Drosophila melanogaster: one gene and its partners. Changing the gene in region 1 together with any one later gene gives a genetic interaction. Each region holds a gene or a part of one and is shown in the gene's direction. Other genes may lie near its edges. The genes, in order: bsk, kay, fz and Rala.

Region 1 (5,400 bases):
AAATCGTTCATGGTGAGATTGGGGGATACGAAAACATGGGCATTGCTCAAGACATCGCGACAAATGGTGCCATTGTAAATATGGCAAATACCTGATGATTGCTGGAAACTGCAGGGCAAATAATATATTGCATTTTTAAGGATTAAAAGGATAAGGGCGTCTAAAGATTTCTGCATTCGAGTATACACTATGTTTAGTAATTTAAAAATATATAAAACATGTTAAGCTCATGATTTCATTAATTATTAATTCCACACAAAAGTATTTCGCTAATTATTGTTGCGGAAACTTGGGAAAACTTTCAGTGAAAATACCTACCCATATATTCTTGAGTCCACATTATGGCTCCCCACATCCTTTTTTGTAAATAAAAGCACGAGCGAAATGCAGACTATAAATGCCGAGTATTTGTTCATATTGCTTAATCTAGCTAACAATATGAAGCCTTTTGTTATTTCAATAGTCCAATTGACATGCCAACGATTCCGAAAATATTTTTGTATTTATCCTTTCGCGAAAACTTTATGTGGCATACAACATTTCATCCCCCGACGAAGTCGTTGGGGTTGTTGACTCCTTATCGATGAATCGATATATTTAGGAGTGCTATGACTCGGAACAAAGGAATTACACTATAATTTCTTATAATTAATAATCCAAATATCTTCAAAAGCTTTATTTATTTTATTAAAGATGGTTGTATAACGACTTTAGTCTCATTTAAAGTACACTTTCCCTTTTCACAGTGAAATAAGGGTAGAAAAATTATGCGAAATACACAATAATATGAATTTAACATTAACAATGTATTTGGTTAAAGCATTTATCATAATGATCTAGAGATTATCTATTGCTTTCGGTGTTCCAATCGTAACTTATCGTTACTCCATGCTGTCGACAGTTTCCTCGGTAACAAAGCCCACAATGCTAAATGCAGTTTCCTCGCTGATCCACAGAAGTCCCACGATTAGTGCCTCCAACACTCCGATGGCAGCACCGGCGCAGATATCCAAAATATAATGACGCTGGAGGATGAGCCGTGAGATGGCCACGCTTACAGCCCAAGCTGTGACCGGCATTAGGAATATGATGTGAAGCGGATACAGCTTGGCGAAGAACAGCAGCACAAAGAACGCCCGGGAGGCATGACCTGAGGGAAAGCTGAACTTATCGGGTCCAATGGTCAGCATATCCTTGCTGGCCACCGGTCGCCTGCGACGAACAAGCGCCTTCAGCACGGCCACGATCACTACGTCGAGTATCAGGCCGAAGAGCATATTGACTTGCATTTGATACAAGCTCTTCGAGCTGAGCAACCAGATGAAGGCGATCCATGAGACAAACCAGGCGATTCCATCGCATGATATCTCCAGAAATCTGCTGTGGATCCGCAGGGATTTGAAGAACGACAGATTGGAGACGGCTACTACAAAATGCTTCGACACCTGAACATCCTTCTCCAATAGGTATTTAAGTGCTGGTGATGACTGCAAGGACAAGATTTTAAAATTAGCACTTATCAGCTTATGTGATTCATCAGTGGCCAAAAACCAACCGTCCTCATATCGCTGTGTATTTCAACTCTTTTGTTTTTATTTATTGTTAGTGATGACAGTATTTCTCATTCGTCATTCGATGTATACTCGATAAGTCGAGCAAAGGAATATCTAATGACCGGAACGGTGAAATGAAACACTGCGCCAACTTAGTTTTTGGTCTTTATTAAATAAATTGCATTTGTATATGTTTATTTGTAAGTTATTAACACTTATTAGGTTTTAAACCCCTAATTAAACCTAATTTTAATCAAAAGTCGATTGGCTGACTTTAGCCGTTTCTGGTTTTGGTCCTACTGCAATCTGGTCACATCGATTTAAGTAACTTTGTTGTGATCGAATATTCCAATAGATTTTCGTATATTGTATTGTATCCATGTACAATTATTCTCATGCGAAAGTGCCGCAGATAGTTGATTCTTAAATTTCAATAACATTAACATAGTTTAAAATGCTCGCCACTTTGAGTGCCCAGTGTGTAGAATAAAATAGAAAAAAAATCGATTTTATATTTTCACAAGAAATTCTGTACTTCTTCGTTAAATGGTAAATAAATATTCTATTACGTTCCATTCACATCAAATATCGAATCACCGAAACACTCCTGCAAAACGTGCCATAATCGATTGAAAGCAATTATAGTTGTGCCGGTTATGAAAAAAATTATTGATATTTAACATAAAATGTCAACTGCCCAAAGAGTGTATGTACCTATGTATGCGCAAATGTCTAACGTTTACATATCGACACTACCCGAAGCGTAGACCGCTTTATTATCTGCAGCGCAAACGAGCGCTTTTTCGATGTACGAATACGGGGAATATCTTTTATCTGAGAGATAGTTTGAAAAGTTACTAAATTATCGACCCACATTTGTGTGGCTGTATGTGCATATGTATGTATGTGGCTTACATCTTACACATATGTATACCAGTAGAAGTTTACAGTTTTCATCCGCATACAAATCGTGTGTATGTACATATTTACACAGGCAACGGCATGCATACACATGAACGCTATGTACATCGCTGTGGTCCAACATTCCGTACTTTTATGTTTAAGCCGGACATATCGATTTTAAATCGGTTTTTTTTCCTGTGCGTGCCGCTAAACACTTTGCTCAAAGAACGAAACGCTCGGTTATTTCTGTTGGGTGTTTTTCCAACCATATTCGACATGTGTTCGGCAAACATTTAAATGCTTATCAATAGAAAAGGGGGTTCGGCATTCGAAGTCGGCTCAAATAAGTGACTGCGTTATGCAATTGTATCTTTTTGAAGGAACTCGATATTTTTTGCTCGTGGTTTGGCAACAAACTCGCCACACACTAGCCAGTAAATTTCACCCCTCGCGACAACAGAGACCCACTTAATGGCCATAACATTCTGCCGAAATAAGGCCAGGCAAAGTTAATGTTTTCCTACCCCCTAATTCCAGACGAAGTTGTCTGAAAACTGCCTCCACCCATTCAGAATGGAGCCATACATACGGACGTCTTTGCTCCTTATATAAAACAGAATCACACTGTAAAACCGTATTGATTTATCTTATTTACCCTCTTGAAAAGGCCGATATGCTCCTTGCTCTCAACTAGTAATAAATAAAATCAGTGAACAATGACGACAGCTCAGCACCAACACTACACCGTCGAGGTGGGGGACACCAACTTCACCATCCACAGTCGGTACATTAATCTACGGCCCATAGGATCAGGTGCCCAAGGAATAGTATGGTAAGTGGTTATCAATATGTTATTACATATAATACATTTAACAATTTTTTGGCTTAAACAATTAAGATATTTCGCATGAGTATGAAGTCATATTTGTAACGCTCCATTGTATATTAGATTAGATTAGATGGGATTAGCTGGAATATGAAAAAAAAAAATAACAAATTTAATGCATTTCAGCGCCGCTTACGATACTATCACCCAGCAAAATGTGGCGATTAAGAAACTATCTCGACCATTCCAAAATGTAACCCATGCCAAGCGAGCATATAGGGAATTCAAGCTAATGAAGCTTGTTAACCATAAAAACGTATGAAACTTGCACCTTTAACTTTAACAAATTTCTACTAAACATAGGTATTTAATCCGTAGATAATTGGCTTACTTAATGCTTTTACGCCGCAAAGGAACTTGGAAGAGTTTCAGGATGTCTACCTGGTCATGGAGCTGATGGACGCTAATCTCTGCCAGGTCATCCAAATGGACTTGGATCACGACAGAATGTCCTATTTGCTTTATCAAATGTTGTGCGGAATAAAACATTTACACTCAGCAGGAATTATTCACAGAGTACGTACAGTATGAATACATCTTTAAAATGAGTATGAAATATATGAAATACTTCATTTGCAGGACTTAAAGCCATCCAATATAGTTGTAAAGGCCGACTGCACTCTAAAAATTTTGGATTTCGGTCTGGCACGTACTGCAGGAACTACCTTTATGATGACTCCCTATGTGGTCACCCGATATTACAGGGCTCCAGAGGTCATTTTGGGCATGGGATACACAGAGAACGTGGACATATGGTCCGTCGGTTGCATTATGGGCGAAATGATACGGGGCGGTGTGCTGTTTCCTGGAACGGATCATATAGATCAGTGGAATAAAATTATTGGTATGTTGCTGCTTAAATAACTTGATTCTCGTTATGATTGTCAACTTTTACGTTTTTTCAGAGCAATTAGGTACACCATCACCCTCGTTTATGCAACGGTTACAGCCAACCGTCCGAAACTATGTGGAAAATCGTCCTAGATACACTGGATACTCATTTGATAGACTTTTCCCCGATGGCTTGTTTCCAAATGATAATAATCAGAATAGCCGCCGGAAGGCTTCTGACGCTAGAAATCTTCTTAGTAAAATGCTAGTCATTGATCCAGAGCAGCGGATATCTGTGGACGAGGCTTTGAAGCATGAATATATCAACGTGTGGTATGATGCTGAGGAAGTGGATGCTGTAAGTGATTCTGGCATAAACTGGATTTCTAGGAATGTTGAATGTTTTTAATCGCTTAATTGCATGCATCTCTTGCAGCCCGCTCCGGAGCCATATGATCACAGCGTGGACGAAAGGGAACACACTGTGGAGCAGTGGAAGGAGCTAATCTATGAGGAAGTCATGGACTACGAAGCACACAATACAAATAATAGAACGCGGTAGAGAACGACTTTTTCCTCCTTAGTCAGTCACAAGAAAACTAAAGCTTACCAACAATACGGCGTGTATTGTTAAATTATTACAACAAATAAAATATTCAAATTGTATTTAAAAATATAGTAACCATTAAAAAATAAAATCAATATGCGAAACTTTGTAATTTCTTACTCATCCTTGTTTTTTGAGCCCGCTTTCTTAAGTTAAATCGTTAAAATACCAGTTTAATCATTTCATTGTCCTGATTTCAGGAGCTAATTACATTTTAATCTTTGTATAAATTCATAAAATTTAAATGGAAAAGTTTAACCATATAAATTATTTCGGTATATAAAGTCGATACATACTTTTAAAATTTTGTTTCATACAAGAATATGGAAAGTAGATAATTTAGTTACCGATAAAAACATTTCTAAAATACAAAAAATTTAAAATGATGATTAAATAAAAAACTGTTATACTAAATTTAAACGAAACAAACGGTCATTCGATAACTCAATTAGTATCGAATAAGCCGGCGTGTAAATCGGGCTGGCAACTCTCACCGGTGTAGAGATCGGGATGGCAACTTCGTACTGTTATTCCTATGCTGCGATAACGATAACAGCAAAGTGTCATCGCGAATAAATGTGGGTTTGATAATAAAGAATTGCGTTGGTGAACAATAATAA
Region 2 (7,584 bases), on another chromosome or scaffold:
ACATTTGGCCAAAACGGCGGCCTATGCTAACGCGCTCTGTTAGCCTTTGTTTCGGCCGCTCCAAACGCTTATTAGCCGCTTTGATATAAACAATGCAAATTGTCGTCGCTGTTTTCGTTTTTGCCAACGCTTGTTTTTGCCTTCGATGATGCCAAGTTTTTTGTTTTTTTTTGTGCCGTCATTACGTCATTGTCAGGCTAAAATTGGTCTAAAAATAGCCCAACACGTCAGCTGAAAGCAGAAGGCAAAGTCTCGGGCCCGAGAATTTCTTAGCCACTCAACTTGTTGCATCTTCACCTTCCTCCTCTGCCCAGCGTTTAAAAACATGTGAATGTGTTTTTGAACTAATTAGAGCCAAGGTCAAAGTTGATGGTCTAATCAAAATGATAGCGCGGATTTACAGGCAATTGATAAGTTTGAGTTTTCAGGGAATTCCTTTGGGAAGTGGCAATTTTTAGGTTTTGAAATATTTTTGTAAGTTGCAGTCACCATACATTTATTTAGGGGCCACTTTGGTTTGGCTTGAACCGCCCGCAAATCAAATTTGCAGCAGTCGCGTGTATTAGTCAGCAATTTGTTGCTTTTCGCTACGTCAGTGTTTTACTTTTTCTTTTTTTTTTTTACTCTCCACTGCTGGCTGTTCGATGTTCGCTGCTCGTTTCATTTGGTTCATAATTGACCCCCAGATGTGAACTCGGTGTCCGGAGATATGACTCTGTCCAACGTTCCGATAGGAGAATCGAGATCGCCATCCGAGCTGGCTGGCAAGCAATTTAGACAATTCAATTCGCCGCGCTTGATTGCCAGCATTCTATATCATCACTTGTTTTGCATACGTACATTTTCCAAATTGACTGATTCATCATCGGCTAAATGCGGTTCATGTTCGCGAGGGACAAGTTCAAATGGCAAAAAAGTGGGTTAAAACGAAAGTAGCCAGCCAAACAAAGGTGGCCAAACAGCCAAGGCGGCCGAGTTGAAAGTAAATTTCGCATACGAAATTAAAAAGTAAATATATCACAAAGAATAAAATCGATTGTTTGCTGTCAATAAGGGAACGGCCTTTGGGATTGGGAAACACGGCTGCGATAAGATCGTCAAATAAATAAGCACACAAGCCGCTCGAACTCGCTGCACGGAGAGAAAAGAAGGCATACTACTTCAAAAATGTAGCCCCAGTGCAACTGGTATGTGTGTGTGTGTGTGTTGCTCTTAGCCCACAACAAAAGCCAGCAATTAGCGTATTGGCCAACTTGCTGGCGACGGAAATAAACGCTCTTGGCGAGACAGGGGGTCTGAACTGAACTGAACTGAACTGAAAACATAGTTAATGTGGATGTGCCACACGCACACACCTGTTCGTGGGACATCTGTCGAATCGGACATGTGTATATATGTATGTAGCTTATGTTTACTCGGAATCATCGCTTTTGGCCAAAACATTGGGCCTGATTTATGGGCAACTGAAAGGCTTTTCCGTGGAAGCGAAGAATGAGCCTCTGGCAAGTTCGGCAAATCGGAAGCAGAAGCATATACATATGTACATAAGCCACCACCACATTCTACTATAGCTAACTAAATGTACATATTTCGCTTTGAATGCGGCAAAAGCGAGCGTGGTCGTCGTGTGGGCAGCCGCTCAATTAAGAGCAGCCAGCGTTTAGGATCATTTGATTTCCCAGCGGCTGTCTTCTAATTTGAGCAGCCAGCTCGCACAACACACGCCCAGCAGACAGCAGACAGCTCTCCGGATTCGGATGCGGGTTCGGGTTCTCTAGTAGTTCTCAAGATATATAAATATATATATGATATGTATATATATACATATATATGCATACATCTGCGGCGATCTCTCGATCGCGATCGTTGCCAATTTCGCTCGCCGGAGATTCTGATGCGATTCAGTCGCAAACGAACAACGAACCATCGAAGTTTAGAAAATATCTAACAATTAAAAGCGATCGCGCGCGCGCTTTTCCTCGAATCGCATCGCATCGAATCGAAACGCGAAACTCAAACAACGAAACGAAAATAAATTTGGAAAACTGCAATTGTCGTTGGGTTTTCGGTGCGCGTGCATTGCCAAAACGAATCAGGAGCAAAAAAAACGAATCAGTCGGCTATATGTACATATATACATATAGACGCAAAACAACGCACATTTCTCGGCTGCAAGCGCGTGGATCGAAATATATATGCCATACGAATATACATATATATATATATATATATGTAAATATAGCCAAACCCAGAAATAAAAGCGCAAAGGGAGGCATAACACTCGCTGTGTTGAGAGGCGTTGCCCATGGCCGAGGAATTTCTGAATACAACAAATGCAGCATTAATTGAACTAGCTCAAGGCTCCATGTCCGTGTAAATCTCTATAATTATATAATAATCGAATTTGCGGCTCACACAGTGGAGCGACTTAAACTGGACACGTGTCGCTGGATTTTGGGCCTCGCACACTTACGATAAACTGCGTCGATTATGAGCGCTTTCGCCGAGCGGAATGTGCGTTTCAATCCTTTGCGAAATCAGCAAACGCTTATCGTTAAGCGGCTGAGACCGCCGGAGAGCCAAAACTTCAAGAACTGAGCAATCGAACAACGAACATATACGAAATCTGCTCACGGCTCGCAGCTAGCAAGAAGTCAAATCAAACGAACCCTTTTTCTTTATTAGGAAAGAGCCAACGCAGAAAGCAAACGAAATACACAATACACACAAAAAAAAGAAGCTATGAAACAAAGCCAAAAACGAACGAATTTCTAAGCAACTAGAACAACACTGCGACAACAAACAGCATAGGAGCATCCAAACGAACGGAATTATAAAGACAAGAAAGGATCATCAGCACATTGTTAGGAAACTTTGGGAACAGAGTCCCAATTTGTACATATACTCTAGTTTAGCTAGTAACTAGATTCTTAGATTGTTGAATTGTTTTTGTTGATTTTGAATACAATTCGCATATATCATTGTTGTCCCAATTGTTGTGTTAGCTTAGCTAGGCTAAGAACCCCAACGAATACTAGTCAGCCGCCCAACTGTGCGTATACGCAACGCGAGTGCGTATACTTAATATTTAGGTTTAGATCGATAAGCAGCGAACAAATGATGAAAAATCTCAACGGTAGGACGCACAATGCGTGCTACCATCCCTACTACCACCAATCGCTGCATTTTGCTCAGCAGCAGCAGCAGCAGCAGCAGCATCATCTGCAGCAACAGCAGCAACATATGCAGCAGCAGCAGCAGCAACAGCAAGCGCCGCAGCAACAGTTGCGTCATCAGCAACGGCAACTGCCCACGCAGCCAGCCTACCAGCAATCGCAATCGGTTGCCCACAATGCTTTTCCACTGCGCAGCAGCAGCAACAATTATGGCCATGTTGCTAGCAGCGCCTACGCTGCCAGCAGCGGCAGTCACAACAGCAACAATGCGGCTGCCATGGCCGCCGTCTGCCAAATGCAGAATTTTTTCAACCAGCAACAGCAGCAGCAGCAGCAACTGGAGTTCAACAACAATTGCATGCCCATTAATTACTACCAGCAGCAGCAGCAGCAACATTACCCTTCCGAGTCCCAGTCCTCCGCCTCCGGCTGGAATCCCGAAACCCCTGGGCAGGCGCAACTCGCCTTGACGGCCACAACATGCAACACCACTGCAGCTGCAACATGCAACACCACTGCAGCTGCAACAACGAGCACAACTGCAACATCTGCTGCCGCTGGCAGCGACAACAACCACAGCGACAACTTTGCAATGGACGCCAGTGAGATAGCCACTTTCCTCGCCAACGAGCTTTTCCTACAGCAGGTACCACAGATCGATCGATGATGATGCCTCCGATTCTGGTCGAGATTGGGATAGATTTGGGCGCGAAACAATTGGCAAGCGGCATGCGTACTTAATCATCGCCGAAAATAGAACAAATGCGGAACAACAAAGGGGTGGGCAAATATAAACAAAGTGATGGATTGGCCGCCTCTCTTTCGGTTTCTTCATCTCTCTTCGCCTCTTTTTTTTTCGTTTTTTGTTTGGCCAAAAACACGTTCGCTAATTCGCTAGAAATGTACGGATAAGCAAGAGGTCTTACAGACTTAGCAATAGCTTTTGATGTTGACTGATATCTGAACTCGACCCAAATTACTCATGTGATAAGAATAAATTCCCAAACATCCTTAAGCTATTCGCGGGCAACACTGCGTATGCGTGATATATGTATACTGATATGGCATTGTAGAGGGTTTCGTGCTTGTCATGAGCTTTAATGAGCGTTAATAGTAATCCATCTTCTCAGATACTTGCACTCATAGATGTCTTTACTAATCATGCACCTTTTCTGCTCTTGCAGCTCGGCAACTTTGAGACCGGCCAGAGTGTTCTCACACTGACGACGCCCACGTTGACGCCGACCACCACGCGCAACATCGAGGACACACTGGGCCACTTGCTCTCGGACACGCAGACCGATCGTGTGGCTGGTTGCGCGGGATTTGCAGTGCCAAAGGTGCTACCCAATGCCATTGATGTCCTGGGCATGGGTATTCCCACCGGTGTTTCGTCGCTCCCACTTCAGCAGACATTCGATTTGAGCCTGGGGCAGGGCAGCGAGTCCGAGGACTCCAACGCTTCGTACAACGATACGCAGATGAACGAGGAGCAGGACACGACCGATACTTGTAAGTGAAGCTGGCACGAATTGCTCCGAATGTCTACTAACTCCCTTTTATTTCATACGCCTGCAGCAAGTGCCCATACGGACAGCACCTCGTACCAAGCTGGCCACATCATGGCGGGCAGCGTGAACGGCGGCGGTGTCAACAACTTCTCCAATGTCCTGGCCGCCGTGAGCTCTAGCCGCGGATCGGCGTCGGTGGGCAGCAGCAACGCGAATACCTCAAATACGCCGGCTCGTCGTGGCGGTGGCAGACGCCCCAACCGGTCGACGAACATGACCCCGGAGGAGGAGCAGAAGCGGGCCGTGCGCCGGGAGCGGAACAAACAGGCGGCGGCCCGTTGCCGCAAGAGGCGCGTGGACCAGACCAACGAGCTCACCGAGGAGGTGGAGCAGCTGGAGAAGCGGGGCGAGAGCATGCGCAAGGAGATCGAGGTGCTGACGAATAGCAAGAATCAGCTGGAGTACCTTCTGGCCACCCACCGGGCCACCTGCCAAAAGATTCGCTCCGACATGCTGAGCGTGGTCACCTGCAACGGTCTGATTGCCCCGGCCGGACTCCTGAGTGCAGGGAGCAGCGGCAGCGGCGCGAGCAGCCATCACAACCACAACAGCAACGACAGCAGCAACGGCACGATTACGGGCATGGACGCCACGCTGAACTCCACCGGGAGGAGCAATTCACCCTTGGATCTCAAGCCGGCGGCGAACATCGATAGCCTGCTGATGCACATCAAGGACGAGCCACTCGATGGCGCCATCGACTCAGGATCCAGCCTGGACCAGGACGGTCCGCCGCCCAGCAAGCGCATCACCTTGCCGCCCATGTCCACGATGCCGCACGTTCACTTGTCCACGATATTAACGCCCACCGGCGCCTCGTCGGGATCTCTGCAGACGCCGATCACGAGCACGGCGCCCGGCGGATTCGGCAGCGCCTTCCCGGTGACCTCCAACGGCAGCAGCATCAACAACATCAACAGCATCGGCAACAACATGAACTCTCCCACGCTGAATGCGCATAACAAGGTGCCTAAGGAGCGGCCCAATACGCTGGCTTTCCAGCGTCCTCTGGGCCAGATGCACCTCACCATGGCCAACAACAAGGCGGGTGGGCCCACGCAGATCCAGGGCGTGCCCATCCAGACGCCCTCGACCGGCACCTTCAACTTCGACTCCCTGATGGACGGCGGCACTGGGCTAACGCCCGTCTCCGGACCCCTCGTACCGAACAGCTCCTCCACGAACAAGCACCCGCTGGAGCTGCCCACGCCCACCGCCGAGCCGTCCAAGCTGGTCAGCTTATAACCGGACCGGATCTGGGACGGGGATGGGGGCCGAGTCAGGATTAAGTTAAGTTTTATATAGTTGGCAGGCAAACAACGGAAGGAAACCGCGAAGCACTTTTCTAGTTGTAGGAGATGTTTTCATTTTTGTAATATGCTGTAATATGCGTAAACGTGACGAATGTGTTGTTTCGTTAACTCTAATGTTTTTGTATTATTATCTTTATTATGGTTAATTTATGATTTCGCTATGTCTTTTACATACGCCGAGGAGCTATGTACATATGTTATGTACTTGTAATTTGTGCAATTTTCAAACCTCTTCATTGCGCGTTGTATATTTTCAAAAAATATAAGAACGCGAACGCGAACGCGAACGACCGACGATGCATGATGAGAATGATAAGGATAATGATGATAATAGGGCGTGTAGATTTGCAGGATGCGTTGTGATATTTATTATAAAACGAATACAAAAGATGCGAGGATGAAACAAAGTAGAAAGCAAACAGGAGCGTCTAATGAAAGGAACTAAGCCGGTTTTAAAATTGTACATTTAAACGAATCGTAAAGCGTAAATATACTATAAAACAAAACAAAGTGAATATATATTCAGCATACAAACTAAATACAATGCCTTGAGAGAGAATTAAGAAATGCAAACCTTTATATATAGAGATCTACATACATATATGTATGCATGTACATTTAAAGCTAAACAATAATGGCGTTGAAGCGAGTTTTATATTGAGCAAAAGCAAATGTGAAATGAGATAAATATACTTATTGTGTACTCTGTAAGCTGCAGTAGAAACCAAAATATATTTTTACTAAACGCAACATTGCGCTATTTTCAAATACCATTTATAAGAAATGACAAAAGCAAAGCAATTATTTAATATGTAATTATGTATTATGTATACCTATATCTACCTACCCACAACCTTAAATCAAAAAACCCAAAACGATTCAACAAAAGCTGATCAGGTAAAGCAACTCTCGCCAGTTTCCACACTAAATTCTCAGAATATTCAAAATTTTAATCTATACAAAACCAAACCGATTGATAGCAAATAAATGCACTTATAAGGGCAGAAAAACACCAAAATTTAAAAATGAAATGGAATAAAATAGAAATAAAAAGACCGACAAAACCTAAAGACGATTTGTGGAATTATTTCTGAAGTTATAGCGATTCACATGACTTGCAAATGGGCTGGCTCGTCGTCAGGTAAACATATCAGGTAGATTAGGGTGGACCAACAAAGGCTGCATTCTCAATTTCTGCAGACTTCTTCAAGCGATTTGAAGTACTTACTTATGGAAGTAAACCTCATTGAGAAAATGGCTCTAATGTGAAAATGCGATCATTCAAGTTATGAAAACATTATGAGATAGAAACACCTAGTTGCTGCCATAAAGACCAGTCTGAAGGGCAGGTAAACGCAGCCGTGTTCTTCCACTCGTCTGATAATGGCACAAACGAGTATATATGTACATACAACACACGCTGCATATATTCATTTTCGGGTTTGCCTTATTTTGCATTTTTTTTTGTTTTTTTTGGGATCTGTTGCTTTCGGTGCAGCCACGAATCGCGGATCTCTGTTTCAG
Region 3 (4,688 bases), on another chromosome or scaffold:
ATTATAAATTATATGTTTGTTTATTATTATAGTATATAAGTGATTTTAAAAGTGCACTGCTTATTTATCTGAAAATTGTACTTTAATTTTTTGTTAAGTGTATCTAGCGATTGCAAGGGGGAGACCGAGAAAAAGAGCCTTTTTATGCGGCGCAACTTTGGCGCTTTTTATTAAACAAGCCGACGAAGTGTAGAAGCGAAGAATAGGATGAGGAGGTGGCGGTGGGGGAGAACTGGGGTTGATGGAGCCAAGAAGAGAGCGGATAAAAAGAGCAAAGCATAAAATGAACTTTGCCGGCTAAACCGGTAACACTTGTTTAACGCAAAAGAGAGTGCGGGAGAGCCAGTTATGTGCTGAAAGAGATATGTTAAGTAGAGAGCGACAGAGACAGAGAAAGCCTGATCGGAGAAAAGGGTTCTACAGGTGACAAAGACAAAAGACTGCCAAGACTCCTTTAATGTCATCATTATTGTCAATATAACAAGTTTATTGACTGGCAGCAGATGCCTAACCCCCCACACCTCCCTTGGCGATCCACCACGGGGTCATTAGACAAATTCCCGCGATAAGTTCTCTTCACTCATGCTAAAGCTCAGATTAAACGCAAGTTAATGACTTAATTAACTGCCGGAAAAAAGCGAGCAAGTAAACAAACAACAGCAAAAACTAAAGATAAAGATAAATGGTAAATGCAAGTGCGCAGAGAAATGGTCGACGATAAAAATTGTCGCAGAAATCAAGGAAATTAACGCGTGCAAATATGTATTTCTATAGAGGAAGAAAGCTGGAGAAAAGCAATTATTATAGGTATATTCCAGTAGAGGGCAAATGTCTTCTAACGGCACTTGCAACAGCTGAAGATTACCAAAGAACAGTGGGAAGTGTAACGGGCATCGATGGATTGATATAAAAAGATAAGAAGGTGCGGTGACCTAAGCAATATGACATTTTAGAAACTGAAAAATATTTAGCTGACATGCACTGTAACTTTTTGACATTCGGACATAAATGTTGTATACTCATTTCGTTTTCGGATATGTATCCCATTTCAGCAAGGATTTTTTGCTGGCAAAATGATTCTAGTCTTTTTATATTGGAGCCATTTTAAATGCAGCACTTATTTCTTTTATTCATTTTATAAGCATAAGATTGGTTATAATTTATTATATCGAAAAAATGGTTAATTAATTAATATTTAAATTGGAATCTATAAATATTTAAGTATTTACAAAGTGAATATCGATGTTCAAATTTCCATTGAGCGGGCCCAACACCTAGATTTGGGCACAGCTTCCGCCCCTAATTTCCTATTAGCCCTGTCGATTGCATAATCATCTTGAATTCTAATTAATTAAATGGTCTCTTATTTAGTTGTTTGTTGATGCTTTCTTTTTCCTGTCTGCTAATCAACAGGAGGCCAAGAAGTTGAGAGGAGACAGAGTGCGAGCGAGACAGCATCCAAACAAAAGGCATAACAGCCCTGTCTTTCACTTCGCTCTCTTTGGCTCTCTGGCTCTCCCGCCGAGAGTGTCAAATTCAAGGTCGCCCCCAGTGCTATACTACAAAGCGTATAGCTGAATAAAACCTCCTCTCACACCATTCGAGCGAAAGAGCGCATATTCAGCGTGTGAGCAGGAGAACGATACGGTGAGAGAGCGGCTTGGAAAGAGCCCCATGTTTTCAGTTCCTCAGTTTGTCAGCGTATGCCCTACCATGCGGATGTGCTCGCGGATTGATTTCGACTCGAACTCCGGCTCCGTTTTCGTCTTTTAACGTAAGTCCCGTGCGAAAAAGTTGAATTCGACTCCGTGTTTGTTCAGTTATTTTTTTGCGCGGTTTTCGAAAAAGTGAAAGAAATAAGGAAATTCAAAAAGCGGGGGAGGCATAAATGATATACAGCTAACGGTACTTATGTATGTGCATACAGCAAGATAAAAATGTGGCTGCTAGAAAAGTAAAGCCCGGTACTGTGCCAGATAAAAGCCAACGCTACTAAGTCCTAAAGACCCCCAAAAATTAAATTTTGACACAATAATATTTTGCCAACAACAAATAGCAAAGTCGAATTCAAACGGTTAAACCAAATTGAAGTCGGAAAATAACAAAAAAAGTCTAAACAAAATAAAGAGCAAAAGCAAACGCAAATAAGAGAATAGAGAGAAATATTTATTATTTGCTTATAAGGCCAAACTAAATATTTGCCGCCGGCAAATATTTAAAAGGTGTTAAGTGTTTCGTGGGAGTGAAGTTTTTAAACAGGGAAAATAAATCAAATAAGTATTCAATGGTGTATAAGTGAGTGCAAGTAGATGAGCAACATGTGTGTGTTTTAAAGTGTTTAAAGAGATCGAGAAAAAGCCCCAAAAGTTATTTGACAGCGATATCGAAAAATTCCAAAATGTGGCGTCAAATCCTGTTTATTTTACCCACCCTGATACAGGGGGTCCAGCGCTACGATCAGAGCCCCCTCGATGCGAGTCCGTATTATCGCAGCGGCGGGGGATTAATGGCCAGTTCTGGGACCGAACTAGATGGACTGCCACATCACAATCGCTGTGAACCCATCACCATATCGATCTGCAAGAATATACCATATAACATGACCATTATGCCAAATCTTATTGGCCATACCAAGCAGGAGGAGGCGGGTCTGGAGGTCCATCAGTTTGCTCCGCTCGTGAAGATCGGCTGCAGTGATGACCTCCAGTTGTTCCTCTGTTCCCTGTACGTTCCGGTCTGCACAATTTTGGAGCGACCCATTCCGCCTTGTCGATCTCTGTGCGAATCGGCGCGGGTATGTGAAAAGTTAATGAAAACCTACAACTTTAACTGGCCGGAAAATCTGGAGTGCTCCAAATTTCCCGTCCATGGAGGCGAGGATTTGTGCGTGGCGGAGAATACCACATCATCGGCCTCCACGGCGGCCACGCCCACAAGGAGTGTGGCTAAGGTCACTACCCGTAAACACCAGACGGGCGTAGAAAGTCCGCACCGAAACATTGGATTCGTGTGCCCCGTGCAACTGAAAACGCCTCTGGGAATGGGCTACGAACTAAAAGTTGGCGGAAAGGTAAGTTCTTTAATGAAAATAAATTCACTAAAAAGCGCCGAAAAATAAGCATCATATAAAAATAGGGGGTTATAGGCGCATACTGTATACCTTTTAAAACATTAGTTTTCTATTATTTATGCATTTAATTTTATGATTAAACATGTTATGATTATGACAAAAGTTAAAAACAAGTTCTATAATCATCCGTCGGGTGAGCACAAACTTTTAACCATGTCCAAACTAAAAACGAAGTTGCACAAATAAATTTTGGGTACTAACATCTGTTTAGCGAATGTATTTAGCGCTTTCTTGACTAAATGTATGCTTTAAGTACCCCAAGCCTTTTAGTGAGTATTTCGTTTATTTCTGGAACTTAATATGCCACATTTGGGTTGGTCCCATGTAGGTCAATGATTTTTTTATGTCTTCATTTGAACTCCAGACTCAATTTGTAGAGCAGCGTAGAAGTAGGGAAAAATGCAAATCCTGTTGCGCCGAGAAAACAATTTCCAACCACCAGGGAAAACAGCAGGAGGTCCTTGGCAGGCCAGGAATAACGAGAAGAAGGAGAGAAGGGCGACGAGCCCGCATTCTACCTGCCCGCAGCTCACAAAAGATGGTTAACAGCGGCAGGTAGATCGTTTTTTCTTTGGCTTCGGTTGAGGAAAGGTAAACCAGTTCTTTTTGGAGTTGTGTAATTTGTAATGCCTGCTTAAAAGTATTCCCAAAAAAAGTAAAAAAAAAATGTAACATGAACCATAGAATGTTTAATAACTTGAACTGAGGGTCAGCCTGTTGCATTTTCACGTTCTTTAATTAATTTTCCACCCTTTTCCTTTAGCAGCTTTTTTTCGGGTTCTTAAGCCCCTCAGCAGACTGATTTTTCCACGATTTATTTTCTGTTGGTTTTGGATGAGTGATGATCATCGTCTATGTGTTTCCAATGTGTTTATCTTTTGCTATTTTTAGCCGTCACTCTGTTGTTGCCGGCTGCCATAAGTAAAGCGCATTAAATACTTTGAGGCAGGATAATTCACACTTCCCTCAGTGTCTGGATATCTGGCGGATACATGTGTATCTCTTAGCTACTTTACCATTGCGATTTCTCGGTGTTTTTTCTTCTTTCGTCTCACTCGCTTTTTCTTGATTGGTCTCGTTTTTCCTTGGCTGTGTGTCATCAGTTCCTCTTGGCCTTGCTGCCTTCTTTCCATCCCCATATCATCATGGCTGTCAGCATCTTTGGTTTAGCCGGAGTCCCCAGACCCCGTGCTTAAATGCCTTTTGAGAGCTGCGTGCGAAATTTAGCAGCTTGTTTGCCTGGATTGCATTTGGCCCACATCACGATTCTGTCTGTAAGAGTATCTGCAAATGAATCCGTATCTGTATCTCTGTGTGTTTTGGCCCTGTTTGCCGTGCTTTATGAGCTAGATAGGTCTCTTTGTCTGCTAATGATAATGGCGCAGTGTGAGAGCGTGAATTAATGCTTATTGGATAGATAATGATCCGACAATATAAACATATAATTGCCATGTTAGAAACTAGTGGTATTAACAAGCGTTTTATAAGGGCTCCACAGGTACAGATAAGAAATTGGTCGAAATCAAAATTATAAACTTTATGATTAATAGACAAAGAA
Region 4 (5,034 bases), on another chromosome or scaffold:
GACTCCAGAAGCTCGAGTTTCCGCGGATTTAGTGAAGTTTGAAATTGATCCATTACTTTGTGATTATAAGCGCCGATAGGAATTTGTTTTTTTTTTTGTTTTCGATTCAGATACAAAAGTTTTTCTGAAATTTTTCTTTTAGCTCGTGGTTGGTTTAGTTATTCAATATTTTAATATTGATCGATTGCAAATGTCGGCAACGAGTGCGACAAGATTTGTCAGAGCCATGGCAATAATAAAGTGACAAATTCATCTGAAAAAATTAATAAATAACAATTTAATATCACTAATTTGCCACATGCATATTTTTAGCACGCACTGTGTGGCTTATATAAAGGCCCCTATCTAAAGGCATTTCATCTTATCAACGTTTTTGTTTTGCTCATAGCAGCAAACAAGAAATTACCAAATATGTATTGTATTATCAATTGAGTTTCAGTGAAATAATTGTGTGTGCTATAATTGAATGCAAGCAGAGGTTTTGCCAAAACCTGGCCATGTTTAGGTATTTCATTAAAAACACGCTCATAAACTACACTTGTATAATTGAAAAACTTGGCATCCTTTTAAATGCAATACGCTTTTATTGGGAAATTTCTCAATATGATTTAAACAACATTTCAGCCCGCCTAAGGGTTAATGTTCCAAGATGAAATCCCAATAGGTTTTAGTTCGAATCTTTCCCTTTTCCGTCTTCTTCTTGGCGCTTTTGTTGTTGCCCTGCCTGCGCTTTAGAGATCGGCATCTCGAATCTCCAATTGGAGTGAGGTTTTTTGTTATTTTCCTTTTGCACTCGGCGAGAAAATGCAGGGCAAAGAGCGAGTCTGATAGCGGGAAGGAGCAAAATGAACGACCCAACAACTAGCCGTACTAATTGGCATACACACATGCCACGCCTCCAACTGCTCCTAAGTGCACACACACACACACACACACACATACACACATGTGCATAAGTTTTTTTGAATTGTTACCGGTGCCAATTTGTTTTTGCGAGTGTATTTATTTGAATTTACTTTTATTCGCGTGAATATGTGTGAGTGCGAGAGAATTAAATCGCCGGCTGAGATAAAATAAAAGTCACTACAACAATAACAACAATGCTATTCACTCGCCTCTCGCTCGCACACGCTTCGCTTTTCGTTTGCTTTGCTTTGCGTTGCCTTTTTTTTCCGTTGTTTCCCCCCCACCCCTCTCCGTTTTTGCACACAACGCTGCGAGGTTAAGTTTGCGATTTTAGGAATTGTACGATTTCTACGGCTTTTCCGACATCGACATCACATTTAGAGGAACGAGAGGTGTTTACCATGCCATTTGGTGTGGCGAGCATATATCTTCCGCTTCCGATCGGATCGGCGATTGTCTTAAACTTTCAGAGGCTGCAACTATAGCTTTTTGTTGTTCTTTTTTTTTTTTCTTTCGCTTTTGTTTCTTTGGGATTTGGGTTTGTGGCGTGGCACTGTCGGCACGACACTTAAGGGTTAAGGTTAAGGGCCAATCGCCATGATTCCCAAATGTGTTTACTTCGGTTTTCCACAGCCGATTTTTGTCTATTTTCACAGTAAAAAAAATATTCACAATATTCACACGAACGCACACACGCAGAAATGGCCTAAAAATATACTGTAAGTTGGTGTAAAAAAAATACCGAAACGAGTGTGCAAAGAAGCCATCTGGCGGAACGATGAGTGCGCTTAACATGCACAGTTGTGTCTGTTAAAGTAGCAGTTTAGCGGTCACTTGTTACTTAGCGTGTGCACCAACCATAGTTATCGGATACTTAAACCGCTCGCCAGCGAGTGCACAACTCGCTCGCTCGCCTATCGAGTACATCAACCAGCAAAGCGAGTACACCCACCAGCCTTAGCGATCACACCCACCTCAATATAAGACGGAACTTATTGGTATTTTTGTGTTATTCTTAGTGATGCTTGTGCTTGGTATAATTGATCGATGGCAGAGCGGTCACATTGGTGCACCTCTGTGGTATTTTTCCACTTTCACACTAGTTTCTTTCAAGCAAGCAAAACCAACGGAACTTTAATTGCGGTGTGCGGCGAACGAGAAGAGAAACCGAAAAGCAGCCAATTTACTGTTGCGTTCCGATCCTGTTAATTCATCAGTTGCCGATTCTCCGATCGCGCCTGTAACTTTTTTGTTTAGTTTAGTGCATCAAGTGCGAGATAACACAGCAAAGCAACAACAAACGAAGCGACAGGCCAAAGCGGACGCGCAAAATACAATAAAAAGGAAGGAAGAAAACGAAGTACGCAAAAAGGAGGAAAGAGAAGCAAAAGCATTTACAGCTAAAGCATTATAGAGTGATTACGCATATTTCGTATGTTGTTCTTCATGATGTCTGCCGTGTGGAAAGATTCTTTCTTTTTATCTGGGTGTATACACCGATGAAATCCCAGAAAGGAATATACACAGGGGTTTTTTGTTTCATAAACAAAATTTGTAAAAGCCGCCAAAAGGCGCCGCTGCCGGCGTTGCAGTCGACGTCGAAGAAAGTGGATGTGTGTGTGTGTGTGTGTATATGTGTGTGAGCAAAGCAAGAGGTGAAAAAAAAACTCAGCAGTGAAATCTTTCTGCTGCTATTTGCTTTGTTGAATATTTAAATGTAAACTAAATAAAAGGTATTGCGCTTGGCATTTTTGTGTGTGTGCTCCATTCAGCAAAATAAAGGAAAGGAGCGGACTGATGAGCACACGGAGAGCGAGAGATAGAGAGAGAGAGAGAAAGAAAAGGAGAAGGGCGGCGAGAGCCTTTTATCAACGGCTATCAGCAGAAATATTTGTTGCCGCACCCCGCTTGACCTTATTCTCTCTCGCTCTCGCTGCCGCTCTCTCCTGCTTTATCGCCCTCTCTTTTTGCGGGGTGTGCAAGGTGCAGTCGCCGCCCGCATTTTGCGCGTTGACTCATACACACAAACACACACACACAAGCAAGCACGCACACGCCCCCATCGCCCCTTTGCTTTTTAAACTTCTCTTTATCCCAATTCCGCTTTGGGATCTCGTTTACGCCGCTCTAAATAACATTTGCCGAATTTTCCCAAGTATTAGTAATAATTTAACATTATACAAATATTATTTAACCAACAGTTAAATACAGTTGAGTTTTTTTTTAAATGACAAGTTTATTAAGCACATTTCTTCATTAATCACATATTTCGAATTTCTAAGAACCTTCTTTGGCACTCGAAAATTGTCGTTTGAAATGCAAGAAAATTCGCAGAAACGGTGTCTGGTTTTAATCTCTGTTATTTTGTGAGATCGCTTTTGATGGCATTCGCTCTGTGGCGTTATTTTCTCACAGTGACCCGTTTTCCGCTACCATCTTTCCCTTTCCCCATTTCTCATTATCTCCACGAACGTGCCGATTTTCGGGTTCTGTTGCTAATCGGAGAACCATTTTGACATTAGCGTTAGATCATCATGATGGTGATCGTTAGTTAATCCGCTTCAACTTTATGCGCATCTGAATGTTCCATCTTTTTATCCAACACGCCTAAAGCAAATGAGGAAAACTGAAAAACGTGACACAGAAAAATGGTTTTACAGTTTCTAATTAGGCTCAAGTTCAAGATCAATTTGAGTGCCAGCTTGTTTTATATTGAATAATTTCATTTATCTATGACTCACTTAATCGTATGTGTTGACCCCTTTCCCCCTTTCACCAACATTTCCTAATTATTTGTTTGTTTGTTTGGTTGCCAAGGGGCGTTAAAAGCTCTCACCAATTGAACGAAATGCGAACGGGGGGAAGTGAATAGCTGAAGTATGTCAAAAAAAAATGCGTTCTCAGTTCCTTTAAAACTGAGTGCTTAAATAATCAATAACTGCTCTTTGTGTAGTTTGCCTTATTATTTACAAAATGCGAAACCAGTTTTGATTTCAGATCGGTCTGTAGAATATGAGCCATTCATATTCCAGAGAAATTTAATCGTTATCAAAAGTGTAAACAAAATCTTACATTATTTGCAAGATATAGCCGAGCAATTTGTTAGCTGTTTCACCTCTGACCTTTTCAAATATAATTCTCTGGCAGGCGAGAATAGATTAACAATAGAGTTGAAAACACTGACTCATAATCTTCACGATCTTTCGCAGTGACACAGTTTTTGGTATATATGTAGTTTTCTCATCTTTTGTTCGGCATCTCCGGCATGTTTGCTAACTTGGCCAGAAGGGAGAAGATAGCGCAAGTCGGCCAACTTAGCCTAATTTATAGCCATCAAGCTGTGATTTGCTCTAATTTCACTTCTAATGGAGTTTTGTCAAGGGAGACAAATCACGGAAATGGGTTCTATTTCTATGTTTCTTCTAGGCCAAGTCCATTATGGCCAACATTAAAGTTTGTTTTCTACGAATAATAATGTTGGCCTAATGCAAAAGTTATACACACTTGATGATAATTGTCCATAATGGCCAAATATGTCTGCCGAATGTCTTCAAAATACGTTTTATATACCTGATTATCAATGAATTGTGCATTAAATACGTGTAATGACTTTGTTATTTTCCAATTAAATGATTAATCGCCCGTTACCAACGATCTACGATATCCGTTTGTAAAGCATTTAACATTTGAAAATCTTGAGATTTCTTCCAACAAACGATTCTTGACAAAGTCGCGCGCGCAATCACATATTTGTTAGCTGACTTTAGTTTGTTACATCATCGTATCAGCATCTCCAAAGTTCTCTCAACACATTTGCCTTATACAGGTTTTATTTGTTTTATGCCCAGGCTCTCAAGTGTTTCCCCATGGCTTTTGTTGTTGCTCCATCGCATTTCAAGATCTTTTATCACAGCTGACTATGCCTAGGTTTTAATTATGCTCTCCTCGCTTCAGAAAACACTTCCCACGCATTGTTCGTACATATATGTACCTATTTTTCATATACCACTCGGTGTGAAATAAGTTTTTAGTTTTTTTTTTTTTTTTTTTTTTAGGTATCGCTATCTGCAAAGGCAGATCAAACTTGCTCGGCCAAATAAAAACACTTTGTAAATGAGTCTGAGCCAC

The links.
Region 2: of bsk (region 1) and kay, changing one enhances a phenotype caused by changing the other (phenotypic enhancement), as found in Drosophila melanogaster (2 studies listed by BioGRID).
Region 3: of bsk (region 1) and fz, changing one suppresses a phenotype caused by changing the other (phenotypic suppression), as found in Drosophila melanogaster (one study listed by BioGRID).
Region 4: of bsk (region 1) and Rala, changing one suppresses a phenotype caused by changing the other (phenotypic suppression), as found in Drosophila melanogaster (2 studies listed by BioGRID).

The regions. Positions count from the first base shown.
Region 1 is NT_033779.5:10,246,983-10,252,382, reverse strand, and holds bsk (basket), read left to right. Parts: upstream 1-1,881; 5' UTR 1,882-2,102; intron 2,103-2,640; exon of another isoform or gene 2,641-3,123; 5' UTR 3,124-3,172; coding exon 3,173-3,288; intron 3,289-3,468; coding exon 3,469-3,598; intron 3,599-3,660; coding exon 3,661-3,858; intron 3,859-3,921; coding exon 3,922-4,186; intron 4,187-4,247; coding exon 4,248-4,531; intron 4,532-4,609; coding exon 4,610-4,735; 3' UTR 4,736-4,881; downstream 4,882-5,400. Other genes in the region: Ror, read right to left, coding at 1-108, 319-416; CG31717 (uncharacterized protein), read right to left, coding at 882-1,487, 1,556-1,564. UniProt on the Drosophila melanogaster protein: Mitogen-activated protein kinase and key component of the c-Jun N-terminal kinase (JNK) pathway which phosphorylate and activate transcription factors involved in a wide range of biological processes including response to various stresses, cellular proliferation, differentiation and migration, and regulation of cell shape.
Region 2 is NT_033777.3:29,787,033-29,794,616, forward strand, and holds kay (kayak), read left to right. Parts: upstream 1-1,903; 5' UTR 1,904-3,120; coding exon 3,121-3,822; intron 3,823-4,360; coding exon 4,361-4,688; intron 4,689-4,754; coding exon 4,755-5,992; 3' UTR 5,993-7,081; downstream 7,082-7,584. UniProt on the Drosophila melanogaster protein: Developmentally regulated transcription factor AP-1 binds and recognizes the enhancer DNA sequence: 5'-TGA[CG]TCA-3'. May play a role in the function or determination of a particular subset of cells in the developing embryo.
Region 3 is NT_037436.4:14,272,657-14,277,344, forward strand, and holds the start of fz (frizzled), read left to right. Parts: upstream 1-1,686; 5' UTR 1,687-2,398; coding exon 2,399-3,070; intron 3,071-4,688. UniProt on the Drosophila melanogaster protein: Receptor for Wnt proteins.
Region 4 is NC_004354.4:3,716,595-3,721,628, reverse strand, and holds the start of Rala (Ras-like protein A), read left to right. Parts: upstream 1-1,993; 5' UTR 1,994-2,266; intron 2,267-4,961; exon of another isoform or gene 4,962-5,034.